2 linked regions of the Xenopus tropicalis genome follow. The main gene of each other region encodes a partner of the protein of the gene in region 2 in a complex. Links are inferred from orthologs where the notes say so. Each region holds a gene or a part of one and is shown on either strand. Other genes may lie near its edges.

What was found.
Region 1: the proteins of rab3gap2 (region 2) and rab3gap1 are in contact, whole or in part, in a cryo-EM structure (PDB 8VYB), measured with the Homo sapiens proteins. The link is inferred for Xenopus tropicalis from reciprocal best matches to the Homo sapiens genes RAB3GAP2 and RAB3GAP1. Residues at the interface, in NP_036546.2 of Homo sapiens: Arg197, His198, Pro199, Gly200, Ser276, Pro277, Phe278, Asp279, Met281, Lys282, Ser285, Asn286, Ile287, Gly289, Phe290, Asn291, Ala292, Ile294, Arg377, Phe378, Gly379, Leu380, Pro381, Asp382, Arg385, Cys395, Thr397, Leu398, Arg407, Arg415; in NP_036365.1 of Homo sapiens: Thr19, Ser21, Trp23, Glu24, Glu142, Ser143, Asn146, Leu147, Leu149, Ser150, Ser153, Ile154, Ile169, His170, Trp173, Arg174, Met176, Arg187, Asp189, Glu191, Met192, Val193, His194, Leu195, Arg196, Pro199, Tyr202, Ile211, Ser214, Lys215.

What each region holds. Positions count from the first base shown.
Region 1 is NC_030685.2:84,384,217-84,388,513, forward strand, and holds the start of rab3gap1 (rab3 GTPase-activating protein catalytic subunit), read right to left. Parts: upstream 2,895-4,297; 5' UTR 2,820-2,894; coding exon 2,802-2,819; intron 2,726-2,801; coding exon 2,670-2,725; intron 1-2,669. UniProt on the Homo sapiens protein: Catalytic subunit of the Rab3 GTPase-activating (Rab3GAP) complex composed of RAB3GAP1 and RAB3GAP2, which has GTPase-activating protein (GAP) activity towards various Rab3 subfamily members (RAB3A, RAB3B, RAB3C and RAB3D), RAB5A and RAB43, and guanine nucleotide exchange factor (GEF) activity towards RAB18.
Region 2 is NC_030681.2:10,595,272-10,599,076, reverse strand, and holds part of rab3gap2 (rab3 GTPase-activating protein non-catalytic subunit), read right to left. Parts: coding exon 3,764-3,805; intron 3,291-3,763; coding exon 3,224-3,290; intron 2,787-3,223; coding exon 2,716-2,786; intron 2,256-2,715; coding exon 2,220-2,255; intron 2,050-2,219; coding exon 1,975-2,049; intron 1,681-1,974; coding exon 1,462-1,680; intron 495-1,461; coding exon 405-494; intron 46-404; coding exon 1-45. UniProt on the Homo sapiens protein: Regulatory subunit of the Rab3 GTPase-activating (Rab3GAP) complex composed of RAB3GAP1 and RAB3GAP2, which has GTPase-activating protein (GAP) activity towards various Rab3 subfamily members (RAB3A, RAB3B, RAB3C and RAB3D), RAB5A and RAB43, and guanine nucleotide exchange factor (GEF) activity towards RAB18.

The sequences.
Region 1 (4,297 bases), on a different chromosome or scaffold from region 2:
TCCCACAGGTACCTACCCCTCAGCCCCTGTCTCTCCCCTTCCCACAGGTACCTACCCTCAGCCCCTGTCTCTCCCCCTCCCACAGGTACCTACCCCTCAGCCCCTGTCTCTCCCTCTCCCACAGGTACCTACCCCTATGCCCCTGTCTCTCCCACTCCCACAGGTACCTACCCCTCAACCCCTGTCTCTCCCTCTCCCACAGGTACCTACCCCTATGCCCCTGTCTCTCCCTCTCCCACAGGTACCTACCCCTCAACCCCTGTCTCTCCCTCTCCCACAGGTACCTACCCCTCAGCCCCTGTCTCTCCCCCTCCCACAGGTACCTACCCCTCAGCCCCTGTCTCTCCCTCTCCCACAGGTACCTACCCCTCAGCCCCTGTCTCTCCCCTTCCCACAGGTACCTACCCCTCAGCCCCTGTCTCTCCCCCTCCCACAGGTACCTACCCCTCAGCCCCTGTCTCTCCCTCTCCCACAGGTACCTACCCCTATGCCCCTGTCTCTCCCACAGGTACCTACCCCTCAACCCCTGTCTCTCCCTCTCCCACAGGTACCTACCCCTATGCCCCTGTCTCTCCCTCTCCCACAGGTACCTACCCCTCAACCCCTGTCTCTCCCTCTCCCACAGGTACCTATCCCTCAGCCCCTGTCTCTCCCTCTCCCACAGGTACCAACCCCTGTCTCTCCCTCTCCCACAGGTACCTACCCCTCAACCCCTGTCTCTCCCCCTCCCACAGGTACCTACCCTCAGCCCCTGTCTCTCCCCCTCCCACAGGTACCTACCCCTATGCCCCTGTCTCTCCCACTCCCACAGGTACCTACCCCTCAACCCCTGTCTCTCCCTCTCCCACAGGTACCTACCCCTATGCCCCTGTCTCTCCCCCTCCCACAGGTACCTACCCCTCAACCCCTGTCTCTCCCTTTCCCACAGGTACCTATCCCTCAGCCCCTGTCTCTCCCTCTCCCACAGGTACCAACCCCTGTCTCTCTCTCTCCCACAGGTACCTACCCCTCAGCCCCTGTCTCTCCCCTTCCCACAGGTACCTACCCCTCAGCCCCTGTCTCTCCCCCTCCCACAGGTACCTACCCCTCAGCCCCTGTCTCTCCCTCTCCCACAGGTACCTACCCCTATGCCCCTGTCTCTCCCTCTCCCACAGGTACCTACCCCCTCAACCCCTGTCTCTCCCTCTCCCACAGGTACCTACCCCTATGCCCCTGTCTCTCCCACTCCCACAGGTACCTACCCTCAACCCCTGTCTCTCCCTCTCCCACAGGTACCTATCCCTCAGCCCCTGTCTCTCCCTCTCCCACAGGTACCAACCCCTGTCTCTCCCTCTCCCACAGGTACCTACCCCTCAACCCCTGTCTCTCCCCCTCCCACAGGTACCTACCCCTCAGCCCCTGTCTCTCCCCCTCCCACAGGTACCTACCCCTCAGCCCCTGTCTCTCCCCCTCCCACAGGTACCTACCCCTCAGCCCCTGTCTCTCCCCCTCCCACAGGTACCTACCCCTCAGCCCCTGTCTCTCCCCCTCCCACAGGTACCTACCCCTCAGCCCCTGTCTCTCCCTCTCCCACAGGTACCTACCCCTCAGCCCCTGTCTCTCCCCCTCCCACAGGTACCTACCCCTCAGCCCCTGTCTCTCCCTCTCCCACAGGTACCTACCCCTCAGCCCCTGTCTCTCCCTCTCCCACAGGTACCTACCCCTCAACCCCTGTCTCTCCCACTCCCACAGGTACCTACCCCTCAGCCCCTGTCTCTCCCTCTCCCACAGGTACCTACCCCTCAGCCCCTGTCTCTCCCCCTCCCACAGGTACCTACCCCTCAGCCCCTGTCTCTCCCTCTCCCACAGGTACCTACCCCTCAGCCCCTGTCTCTCCCTCTCCCACAGGTACCTACCCCTCAACCCCTGTCTCTCCCTCTCCCACAGGTACCTACCCCTCAGCCCCTGTCTCTCCCTCTCCCACAGGTACCTACCCCTCAGCCCCTGTCTCTCCCTCTCCCACAGGTACCTACCCCTCAACCCCTGTCTCTCCCTCTCCCACAGGTACCTACCCCTATGCCCCTGTCTCTCCCTCTCCCACAGGTACCTACCCCTCAGCCCCTGTCTCTCACTCTCCCACAGGTACCTACCCCTCAGCCCCTGTCTCTCCCTCTCCCACAGGTACCTACCCCTCAGCCCGTGTCTCTCCCCCTCCCACAGGTACCTACCCCTCAGCCCCTGTCTCTCCCCCTCCCACAGGTACCTACCCCTCAGCCCCTGTCTCTCCCCCTCCCACAGGTACCTACCCCTCAGCCCCTGTCTCTCCCCCTCCCACAGGTACCTACCCCTCAGCCCCTGTCTCTCCCTCTCCCACAGGTACCTACCCCTCAACCCCTGTCTCTCCCCCTCCCACAGGTACCTACCCCTCAGCCCCTGTCTCTCCCCCTCCCACAGGTACCTACCCCTCAGCCCCTGTCTCTCCCCCTCCCACAGGTACCTACCCCTCAGCCCCTGTCTCTCCCCCTCCCACAGGTACCTACCCCTCAGCCCCTGTCTCTCCCTCTCCCACAGGTACCTACCCCTCAACCCCTGTCTCTCCCCCTCCCACAGGTACCTACCCCTCAACCCCTGTCTCTCCCCATCCCACAGGTACCTACCCCTCAACCCCTGTCTCTCCCCATCCCACTTACCTCTCCCACTCGGACGCAGTAGTAAAGTCCGTGATCTCAAACACCTCGGACTCGGGCTGCAGGGAGAGAAGAACAGACAGTAAATCGGAGGCCGAGGGAACAGAAATGATAACAACACAGCTGGAAACTCACATCACTGTCAGCCGCCATCTTGGGCCGGGGAAGACGTCAGCACGGTGCATGCTGGGAAACAGGAACTAAAGGAAAACATTGCGGGGAGTGTGAGGGGGAGTGTGAGGGGGGGAGTGAGGCACAGGGTCCCGGGAATCATCAGAACTGGGGTGGGACAGGGGAGGCAGGGTGTCACTCCGGGGTGCTGGGGGTCATGGGGCGAAGGGCGGGACAACAAGGGGGGCTGTGTGGCACAGGGAGTGCTGGGAATAGTGACAATAGGGTGGGAGTAGATAACTGTGGGGCACAGGGGGTGCTGGGAATAGTGACAATAGGGAGGGAGTATAACTGTGGGGCACAGGGGGTGCTGGGAATAGTGACAATAGGGAGGGAGTATAACTGTGGGGCACAGGGGGTGCTGGGAATAGTGACAATAGGGTGGGAGTAGATAACTGTGGGGCACAGGGGGTGCTGGGAATAGTGACAATAGGGAGGGAGTATAACTGTGGGGCACAGGGGGTGCTGGGAATAGTGACAATAGGGAGGGAGTATAACTGTGGGGCACAGGGGGTGCTGGGAATAGTGACAATAGGGAGGGAGTATAACTGTGGGGCACAGGGGGTGCTGGGAATAGTGACAATAGGGAGGGAGTATAACTGTGGGGCACAGGGGGTGCTGGGAATAGTGACAATAGGGTGGGAGTAGATAACTGTGGGGCACAGGGGGTGCTGGGAATAGTGACAATAGGGTGGGAGTTGATAACTGTGTGGCACAGGGGGTGCTGGGAATAGTGACAATAGGGAGGGAGTATAACTGTGGGGCACAGGGGGTGCTGGGAATAGTGACAATAGGGAGGGAGTATAACTGTGGGGCACAGGGGGTGCTGGGAATAGTGACAATAGGGTGGGAGTAGATAACTGTGGGGCACAGGGGGTGCTGGGAATAGTGACAATAGGGAGGGAGTATAACTGTGGGGCACAGGGGGTGCTGGGAATAGTGACAATAGGGAGGGAGTATAACTGTGGGGCACAGGGGGTGCTGGGAATAGTGACAATAGGGAGGGAGTATAACTGTGGGGCACAGGGGGTGCTGGGAATAGTGACAATAGGGAGGGAGTATAACTGTGGGGCACAGGGGGTGCTGGGAATAGTGACAATAGGGTGGGAGTAGATAACTGTGGGGCACAGGGGGTGCTGGGAATAGTGACAATAGGGTGGGAGTTGATAACTGTGTGGCACAGGGGGTGCTGGGAATAGTGACAATAGGGAGGGAGTATAACTGTGGGGCACAGGGGGTGCTGGGAATAGTGACAATAGGGAGGGAGTATAACTGTGTGGCACAGGGGGTGCTGGGAATAGTGACAATAGGGAGGGAGTATAACTGTGGGGCACAGGGGGTGCTGGGAATAGTGACAATAGGGAGGGAGTATAACTGTGGGGCACAGGGGGTGCTGGGAATAGTGACAATAGGGAGGGAGTATAACTGTGGGGCACAGGGGGTGCTGGGAATAGTGACAA
Region 2 (3,805 bases):
CTCCGCCAGCGTCTGGATGGCTGAACTGATCACCTTTAGCAAAAACTTGGGGCAGGAGAGAAGGAAATGTTATTATTTTGTGTGTTACTACTAAAATGCACAGAGATCTAATGTTCCATCTCATTCAGGTGCAAATATATGTGTGTGGGCCCTGTTACTGGCCGAACATCAGCCACTTATCAATCGGCAAGCTAAAGGATCCCATTGGGTGAGAACAGCATGATCCAGTTGGTGGGTCTGTATAGGCCCACATTATGGCTCCTTGGTTGGCATGGAGACCAACCAACTGTACCAGCCCTAAGGCACAGGGGACCAAACTGGGCAGCGATACCCTGACTGGGACACCCCCCCAGTGGAAGTGCTTATGGCTGAACAAGACTGAAGATGAGAAAGCACAGACATACCTGTTGCCGTAGGCTCACTAAACTCGGGTCCGCATCCCCGCTCGGCAGCAGCTGAATGGAGGTCAGATCTTTGAAAAATGCGTTTTTACCCTAAATATAAAAAAACAAACAATGCAGTTTTTTCTTTAAAGACAAACTCACAAACATGAGCATTTGACATTTTGCAATTTGGCCAAACTGTGATTGGTTGGAACATGGGCCACAATGACTGAGAGCCAGCTACAGAATGCTGCAGGCCAGTGACAAATGGAAATCATATCAATTTGGGCCAGTACTAATAACCCAGAGGAGCCAATCAGCATGTTACGTTTAGTAGATCTAAAGCAAAGCTTAACTACCCCATAAATGAACACTGCATGAGCAATAGTATCCAGACCCCTGACTGGCCAGGGGATTCATATGAAGTTGCCCCTCCCTTTGCTGCTATAACAGCCCCTCTGCTTCTGGGGAGGATTTACTTGGGCTCTGATGTTGGGGGATCAGGCTTGGCTCACAACCAGAATTCCAATTCATCCCAAGGGGGTTCAACTGGCTTCTCCCAATCCTATCTCAGCAACCCCATTCTGCAGGGATCTGGCCGGGGGGCATTATTGTGCTGTTATGGGGCTTCCCTAAACTGATGCCATGTAGCAGGAAGCATGGGATTGTCAGGAATGTCACTGGATGAAGCTGTGGCGCCATGAGTCAGCCATGATGGCTGCATACACATACTCCTGACCATACAGAGCACCGTTGGTGAGAATCAATAACTAGATTAGCCAGACTGACCTCTCCATTCAGCTTTTAGGGAGGTAAGAGGAAGGCTAACTGGTACAGACTGTAATGCCAGGGATCTCAGTGCCACCCATAGTCTGGCCAACAATCAGCAACGGGAACCCACAGCAGCAATGCAACGGAACCACTGCCAATCAGGGATCGGACTGCAGCCACAAAGGGGGTCTCCCAACTGCTCCGAGCACTAAAGGCCAAATATTCCTTGTGTGGCTCAAACCCAGCTCCTGAAACAGCAAGTGTGAGTGTGCAGATAACTTGTGCAACAAAGGGACACGGCACGTACCTTACTGTCATACAGCGCAAGAGGCTTGATGGATTTGAGGGAAAACCTCATGACTGAGTAGAGAATGGCTGAGAGGACAAACTGGTGCTCCACCAGCGGGTAGTGTATGTGCTTCTGTTCCAGAGCCAGTTCTACTATGGAGCTCGGACCTTCCATATTCACCCAGGAATCTTCCAGCTCCAGCAGGGGGGCCTGCATCTCCTCACTGCTAACGTCAGCCTTGGGAAATAAACAGCGCAAAGGTCACATGATGTCAGCGCTTAATGCCCCAGCATGCTTAGTGGTGTAAGGAGGTGAGCATTAAACCCACGGTAATTAAACATGGTAACAGCAGCAGGGTCAGTAGCCCCCTGAGCAATAACAGAGGCAAGGAAATAGCAATAAATACAGATTCATTCTTCTACTTCATATGGGAGAAAGCAATAAGAAGATAACACCCCCCCATATCCTCATGAGTTTATGTACAGAGTCGGGGGGATGGGGGGGTGGGTTACCCCTATCTGTCACCATTACCTCCATCATTGCCTGCAGGAGATCGGAGCAGCTCCCCAGGAAAGAGCCCATTGCCGTGTCGCTCATCCCCACGTCCTGGGAGAGGAAACAAAAGAGAATAAGGCTCAGGCAACTCATACACAGAAATCTCTCCCTAAATAACAAGTAAATCTGGAGCCCTCCATCACCCCCACTGCCCCCCATAGCCATTCATCCGACTGCCTCCTCTCCTCCAAAACAGGAGGAATCCTACGTGTGACACTTACCCTTCGGCACAGTCTGTCCTTGGGAGCTTTCCCAACCTACAGAACACAAAGCAGAGAGGGACTGTCAGTGCAGGATATACATCAGGGAAGCCCAGCCTGAGACGCAACTGATACAACTCCCAGCATCCTCCAGTCACAGGAATAGTGACAGTTGCACTGCACAACAGTAAAGGGGAGCAGGATGGACATCCCCGATGCCTCTACTTAAGTACCTAGTACGTAGGTGTTACATATGTTCTAGGTACTCCTAGCTAAATTAAAGGAGAAGGGAAGTTTAAATTACCTAGGGGGGCCAAATGTTAGTCGTCGCCCCCCCCCCCCACAGTGATAATAATTACTGGCCCAGGGTATCAGGTAAGTGATTACAGTCACTGCAGGGTGCCTAACATTTGGCACCCACCAGTGATTAAAGCTTAGTTTCACCTTTAATCCCAAAGGATGTTGTCTAATCACCATATGGGATTACAGTAGCGCCCCCCCAAAGGCCGGAGCTCACCTTATCTATGAGGTACGCAGCGGCAGAAAATCGCTTTATGATGAACGTGTTCCACATCATGAGAGAGAGCCCTGAGTGGAAAAACAGAAGGAAAGGAATAATCACCCATATCTGTGCCAGGGTGCAAGGCAAATTACTAATGGCAAACCGACTGTATGATGGGCATCCCTTCCCTACACAGAGGTGCAAACAGCCCCAATAAACTGACTGTCTATGGCATCTTACAGAAGTGCCTCTGGTATACGGCAGAACATACAGACTGCCAGTCTGGCCCAGATGGGCACCCATTCATCTCTTCTGCTAGAACTCCTGGGCTCCCAGTGAAAATGAGGTTTGGATGAGTAATTATCATCCTCGCATATAAGCAATATCGCCATTATCATCCTCGCATATAAGCAATATCGCCCCCTTCTGGAGAGACAAGCAAATACCCACAATACATATATGAGAGAGACACACACACAACTGGCAGCACGACACATAAACTGACTGTACTGACAGCACTCACCAAACTGCACGTGTGCATTGCTGATTCGCTTTAAGTGGTCGATAGAGCGAGCAAGGAACTGCACTTCCTGTGGAATGAATATAAGAAAGTAGTAAGAATGACATACACACTTGCATAATGCCAATACTAACAGCATTCTTTCTCATAGCAAAGCATGGCTGCCATCTTGGATTTGGTTCCTTTATGGCAGGGGTCCCCAAACTTTCTTACACAAGCACCATAAAAGTTCATGGAGGAGCCAAATAAAAGCTGTGATTGGCTATTAGGCAGCCCCTATGCACCCTATCAGCTTACAGGGGGCTTTATTTGGTAGGAAATCTTGTTTTTATTCAACCAAAATTCAAAAATAAATCCCTGGTTTGGGGGCACTGAGAGCAACATCCAAGGGGTTGGGCAGCCATTTTCATTCATTTTCAGATTTCATTACACTGTCCCTAAGGGAAATGGCACTTCTCTAATGCAGAGCCCTACAGTAACCCCCTGTTTGCACCAAACAAGCAGCAGGAGTACAAGGAAGGGAACGTGACTATCGGCCCCTACCTCTGGGTCTTTGTTCCACTGTAGCACGTACTCCCAGCAGCA